Saccharomyces cerevisiae S288C: one gene and its partner. Changing the gene in region 1 together with any one later gene gives a genetic interaction. Each region holds a gene or a part of one and is shown on either strand. Other genes may lie near its edges.

Region 1 (3,902 bases):
GGACTGAACTTAGATATTTTTTTCTGTATTAACTAAAATTTAGCGCAAATAATAACAATATCAACAATATCTGCAAGGAAGAACAATGAGCTGTACCACTGATAAGTTAATACAAAAGTACGACGCCCTTGTTAGGAAAACCACAGAACATAAATTCGCTAAGGAACTATGTGCCGGAACATTGAAGGACCGTAGTTTGTACATCTATTTATCACAAGATCTGCAATTTTTTGAAACTAGCTTAAGGTTGATATGTAAGACGACTTCTTTAGCACCAACTACTCACGCTTTAATAACCTTAGCCAAAAAGATTGGATTTTTTTCTAATGATGAAAACTCATACTTTCATGACTGCTTAGAATTATTGGCACCATCCCTCACCAAGGAAGAAAGAGATAATTTTGACAATAAAGCGATCCCCGGCGTTGATGCGTATATTAATTTCTTAGATGAGCTGAGAAAGGACGCCTCAATTACATGGCCATCCTTAGTAACCAGCTTATGGGTTGCTGAGGAACTCTATTGGAGATGGGCTCGTGATACTCCTAGAGCCCCAGGGTTGCATTGGAAATATCAAAAATGGATTGATTTACATGATGGTGAGCATTTTCAAACTTGGTGTGAATTTCTAAAGGCTGAAGTTGACAAGTTTCCCGTCGAAGAAGTGGAAAGCATATTTGTGAAGGTTTCACAGTTCGAGTTCGAATTTTTTGAATCTTGTTACAACGCCTAATCTCAAGTAGTATATAACACTTACTTATATATATATATGTATATTTTTGCAGAAAAATAAGAGCAATGAACAAGCTGATATGATCATCGTGTTAGACTTTTGTAAAGATCGTTTATATTATATTGAAGACCGGACTGTGAAAGGTAAAATTTCAGTCTATCCAAGAATGTGATTCCGTTCCAGGTTTTAGCAATTGGATCGTACCTCGGTATTCCGAATTGTTCAATTATTGCGCCTGCAGCGATGTTCCCACATATACTAGCAATATCTAAGCTTTTCGTTAGGGCATAAGAAACTGCAAAGCCGCCAAGGAACGAGTTTCCCCCGCCAGTAGGATCTAGTACTTTAGACTGAGTTTTGAAATGGTAGGCGGGGAAATGGTCATAGGTTCGTCCGTTCTTAAACTTCTCACTTACCGATATGCTTCCGAGGGCACCGCATCGTAGAATACACATATTGTTTTCATCCATGAAATCATCGAAACGATGCGCTAATGCTAGACATTCTTCCAAACTAGTCGGTTCCTTGCTACTTAAACCAAATAAGCGACTTGATTCTTCGGCATTTGGAGATAATATTACCGTAACATCGTTCCTCTGCATTACACTTTTAATGTCATTTTGATGATCAAAGTCGCAAAGATCTGGGAATGGCTCCCAAATCACGATTGGTTTTGTGCCCTTTGAACTTTTCACCCGTAGCAGATCGTTTATTATGTCTAAGCATCTAGACCCAGAACATAGCAAATGAAACGCATGCATTTCATCAATTATCTTCTGCCCAAATGTGGAAATCCAGTCATCGACGTTAATCTGCTTCTTCGGCGTCAAAAACTTGAACTTTCTCAAATCATCACTTCCCTCGTAATAATTCAACCCTTTGGTAGTTAATCTGCTAAAGTCATCTCGAAACCTCACATCAGTACCCCATGAGTCTATTTCCCTTATAACTTCCTTTGGAAAGTCAGAGCCTCTGTCCACTATCCACTTCAAACCTTTGGATGTGACATTGCCGGAAGATATTATGCATGCACCCAAAATGGCAAAAGTCCCTCCGCCTCCTGGGACATTCTTATAGTGAATATTATATTTACTACGCTCGATGTCGTCTATGATAAACATGCCATTAGTTATGACTAGGCTTTTCGTTTCTGTAGAATCCTCTTCATTCATCATTATCACGTTCTTTATTTTCTTAGAACAGTAAACTTCTTAAATCAAATGTGAGAAGTGTTTTCATGTATAGCCAGGTTATGCAATAATAGAAGGGATGAAAGCTTTAGTCGCGCCTGTTTAATATGCAATTACTTTAGCACTACCGTTTATTGTCTTGATATGACATTTATTTGTCAGCTGAGGATCTCGGAAATTTTAAATGTAAAAAGGAAGTTCCCTAGAGTAATCGTAGCATTATCATACATTCAGATTCACAGAGCAACATGCAAGTTTTAAAATACATTATTAAGTTTTTGCAGAGGCAAATTATACATGAACACTCCTAAAGTACATTTAATTACAATTATCTCAGAGAAGATCTTCTTGAGTCCCAACCAACAAAAGTTTAAACACACAAAAATCGTAGCGTGCATCGTCAAGTTATGTTTGTAAGTACTGGGATAGTTAATTACTACATAGGAATATTCAAGATGTCTTTCTGATATCAGAATCGTTGTTTGTTTATTACGTCATTCCTCTTCATTTCAGTAATTCTTCTGAATAAAAGCGGAACCAAGACAATATACGATGTGCTTTTGACAGATTTGTACTTTTCATATTCGAGTAAATTTCCCTATGTTTGATGGAGTATCATAGTTTTGTTTTTCTTTTTGTTTCCTAGTCAGCCCTTTTCTTCCAGGTACATTATCTATTGAAAATGGACCCCATTATTGCTATGAATTCTGTATTACCTTTCTTGGATTGTAATTTTTTTTTCTTAAGTTATACTTGGGAACAAGACCAAACATGTTATCTTGCATAAACCTTATAAGCAAATTGGTGATATTGAACTGAGATTCCGATGACCGTGAATACCATCTAACAAGAAAATCATTTGGAATTTTGAGAAAATACAATATCCATAATAAGTACGAGAGATTAATTTTTGTTTTCAGATCAACATTCAAACACGGTTGTTAGGTGGTTGTTTTCTGATGTACTCACATGAGAATCACGTGAATTTTCAGATAGTTGTTGGGATTCCATTATTGATAAAGGCAGTAATATTATGTATACAGAATATACTAGAAGTTCTCCTCGAGGATATAGGAATCCTCAAAATGGAATCTATATTTCTACATACTAATATTACGATTATTCCTCATTCCGTTTTATATGTTTCATTATCCTATTACATTATCAATCCTTGCACTTCAGCTTCCTCTAACTTCGATGACAGCTTCTCATAACTTATGTCATCATCTTAACACCGTATATGATAATATATTGATAATATAACTATAGTTGATAGACGATAGTGGATTTTTATTCCAACAATTCTATATACGTAAAATTATAGCCTTTACCAACAATGGAATCCAACAATTACCAGCTATTCATCAAGTGATCAGAAAATAATATTGAGGTTTTAGTTCACATTTTAGTAACAGTATTTATATTTTTAAGTCACTTATTAAACGTAATTTTTCATAATTAAAGAGCCTTGTTGGCGCAATCGGTAGCGCGTATGACTCTTAATCATAAGGTTAGGGGTTCGAGCCCCCTACAGGGCTTTCTTTTTTCTTGGAAAAAGAAAGAAACTACATTACATGTGCCGCAAGCGCAAGTAACAATGTTTATAGCTTATCTAACGGGGAATGTATTTTAAATTCAAACAACTTGAGTTATTGAAATTATGAGTGAACCTTTCCGTCATACTCATTGCATTGCGCTCAAAATCTGCGAACGTATCGCACCAGCTATCTGAGTATAAAATAATAATACGCTTCATAATATATACTTTTTGGAACAAGTGGCCATTAATAGTGATATAGGATTGCTGTGTAAATGCTAATATCACATATAGATGTACATCTCGTATTACATGTGAATGTGCCTAATGTGGAAGGAAATTTCATACATGCAGTTCAGGTAGTAATGAAACCGATTTAAGATCTATTAATTGAACATTGATATGGTAGTTATACAAGAGTTATATTAATTATCACATTAAC
Region 2 (3,288 bases), on another chromosome or scaffold:
AAAGACTGTCATCCTATATAGGGTGGCAATGTTATTATCAGGAAGGGTAAATCTCATTTCTAAATTGCGGAAGGAGCTTTGCTCTGGTTGAAATTATTATCATTATCGCTACTTCAGCGATTTCAATTTTGCTTACTAGATACCAGCGTCAAGGTCCTATCTTTTGTTGTGTTGCTGCCTCAAACATGTCAGTTTAAGTTTGAAGGTTGACACTGTAAAATTTACTTTGTATATTGCATTTATGGATGATTTACAGTGTTTCAATTATGCTCTATTGAGGATAGTGCTTTTGCAGAATATTTCACTTGAGGCCACGCATACTGGCCTAAGGCATTACATTTTGAAATAATCTTCGCATGGGGCTTGTCACAGTCATGAAAGGGGAAATAGCTTCTAGTATCTGGCATGATATGTCCTTACAGAACTTGATCTTTCACAGCATAAGAATTATTACATCCTAATATAGATTTCCGACACTGCAGTGAGGCAGATGCCAATATTGAATCGAAGTTTTGATTAAGGTATGTGAGAGTGTGATTGTTTGACATCCCTCCAGTTGTTCGAAGATATCAACGGCGCAGGAAAGCCGCTGATAAAATGGTCGCTCCGTGGTTGAAATTGTAGTAAATAACCACTTTTTCTTACGTAGAACTTTATCCTTTTGGCTGTGGTTTGAAATTATTCGTTTTCTTCCCAAACGTTGCAGGGAAATAAGAAAAAAGAAGGAGAAATAATACCTGACAACGTAGCAGCGAGCCTTAGTTCATCTGCTCAGGTTGAAAAACATTGATCTTGAGCATTTTCATCTTGCGCTTTAAATCTCTTGGAGTATAATTAAGAGCAAATTGTAACAGTATTATGACATTTGCAGGACTCACACCCAGAAGTCCTTTCCACCACTTCAGTACTGTAACTTGAAAAAAAAAGGGAGAGAATTGATCTAATTAAAATTATATAGTTATTCAAATTGGAAGTAAATAAATAAGGACTGCCGGCCCATTTTTCTTTTTTTTCTCTTAACTGACCTGATATTTTTGAAACACTTAACGCCGTTTTCTTCAATTAAATCAGAAGTGCAATTAGTGGTGCTATGTTAACATATGTTTGAGAGCCTACTAAATGTTAGAGTGGACAGTTCTTGCTTACAATGATTAAGAATTGATGGCTAGTAATGTGGGCGGTCGCATCTCGCTTGTCTAAGGATGGAGTTCCTAAATTCTTCACGATCGGGAACAGGTCCTTTGTCCCAACTTGCCAGTTTATCGTCAACGAGTTTATCAATCTCGTCGTAGTGGATAGTAATCCATGGATGATCTTCATTACCGCAAGTAGTCCAATTCACTGGTGGTAGTTTTACGCTCCAAAATCTCTTATCATAATCCGCTATGCGGTAAAATGTCGATGTATTATGCGTAAAATTGTTATAATTGTCTGTTGTATCCGTACAGCATACCAATGCCAAGCCTTGAAAGGCGACGGCTAGTGCCAAAATTTTCATCCTTTCAGTATACCTGATTTTGGCTTTATCCTTTCAATGTGCCTGATTTTGGCTTTCTCGTATCTTTCGCCTGATAATATGAAAAAGTATATACTGTGAAAAAACAACCGTTGGAGAGCTACGACCGACTGAAAAGATAAAAATGCTTGAGTTTTTCAGGTTAGCATGCCGTCTAGTAGAATTAAACCATTGTAGTTCTTCACTTTTGTATTAAACGTAGGATTGAGGCGGTGGCTGCTTTTGGTTTACTATGCGTTGTAAGGGGATGGGGAAATGGAACGTCCAGAAGAAAGTTATAGTTCCCGTTTGCATAACAGCAGAGACAAAAATGGTCGAGCACTTCCGTGTTGACTGTATATCTGTGCATGGTTGACTAATTGTTGTTTGATGGCCTGAAGTTCTTGTCACACTCTGCAAATTATCCCGACATTCAGACGTACACGTACAAAACACGAATGCTACTCTAGCATATCCAATCGATCGCACTGAAGCGATCAGCTGATGATCAGGCGGTACATTGCATACTCTGCGTAAGGCCTTTTTCACCAATTGACCGCATCGTATATTTCCCAATCCGGTTATTAAATCGTTATCAGGCGGAAACCTTCGCGAACAGTATACTGGAGAGTGTTGCGACAAGATATTTAAAAGCGGAAAACGGGCATATAAAATAGATGAGTGCAGACTAATGAAAAAGACCCCAGACCCATCTCCACCTTTTGCAAGCACGAAGAACGTAGGCATGTCAAACGAAGAACCGGAAAAAATGGTTAACGATCGAATTGTGGTGAAGGCCATCGAGCCAAAAGATGAGGAAGCCTGGAACAAACTGTGGAAGGAGTATCAGGGTTTCCAAAAAACGGTTATGCCTCCGGAAGTAGCCACCACTACCTTCGCAAGGTTTATAGACCCTACGGTCAAACTATGGGGTGCTCTAGCCTTTGACACCGAGACCGGCGATGCAATTGGCTTTGCACACTACCTGAACCATTTGACGTCGTGGCATGTCGAAGAAGTTGTCTACATGAATGACTTATATGTCACTGAACGCGCAAGAGTCAAAGGCGTAGGTAGAAAGCTCATAGAATTTGTATACAGCCGTGCCGATGAGCTCGGTACGCCTGCAGTGTACTGGGTTACAGACCATTACAATCACCGCGCACAGTTGCTGTACACCAAAGTGGCTTACAAGACAGATAAGGTTCTTTACAAGAGAAACGGATACTGAAACCGCTGTGTAATGTAGACTACTGTGTATAGAGATAACTCTAGCTTCTATAGGCTCACTTGCGAAGCTTTTTTCCCACTTTTTCCCAGTGAAATAGTTTCTTATTGGCTTTTCATAGTTTGTTCTCCGATTTAATCGCAAGCGCCGTACGGCGCAGGCACAGAATGACTTGCAGCTTAATCCAGGTGCATTTTAAGAAACTTATCTGCTGGGAAGACCCCGAAGTTCATCGTTTACAATGTGCCGTAAAGAACACATTTGAGGGTGCAATCTGGTTCGTCTTTTGCCATAATTAGTAGTGCTCATCCGTGATCCTTTAATTTACTTTTGTGATGCGATGATTTGCAGATACTATATAAGCAATGGACACCGTCCATCACCGATGAGGCTAGAACATCGTAGTGCTTTGTAAAAGAACTGTTAAAGACCCAGTACGAAAATTTTTCCATAATGGACCCTGGTATTGCTAATCATACCCTCCCCGAGGAATTTGAAGAGGTTGTCGTTCCCGAGATGCTGGAAAAGGAAGTAGGAGCCAAGGTCGATGTCAAGCCAACGCTAA

The links.
Region 2: mutations in MAK32 (region 1) and HPA3 impair growth when combined (synthetic growth defect), as found in Saccharomyces cerevisiae (one study listed by BioGRID).

What each region holds. Positions count from the first base shown.
Region 1 is NC_001135.5:150,843-154,744, reverse strand, and holds MAK32 (Mak32p), read right to left. Parts: upstream 1,909-3,902; coding exon 817-1,908; downstream 1-816. Other genes in the region: PET18 (Pet18p), read left to right, coding at 86-733. UniProt on the Saccharomyces cerevisiae protein: Necessary for the structural stability of L-A double-stranded RNA-containing particles. Necessary for growth at 37 degrees Celsius as well as for maintenance of the killer plasmid.
Region 2 is NC_001137.3:24,481-27,768, forward strand, and holds HPA3 (D-amino-acid N-acetyltransferase), read left to right. Parts: upstream 1-2,240; coding exon 2,241-2,726; downstream 2,727-3,288. Other genes in the region: YEL068C (uncharacterized protein), read right to left, coding at 1,166-1,498; YEL067C (uncharacterized protein), read right to left, coding at 1,709-2,296; SIT1 (siderophore transporter), read left to right, coding at 3,177-3,288. UniProt on the Saccharomyces cerevisiae protein: N-acetyltransferase that acts on a wide range of D-amino acids. Catalyzes the N-acetylation through an ordered bi-bi mechanism, in which acetyl-CoA is the first substrate to be bound and CoA is the last product to be liberated.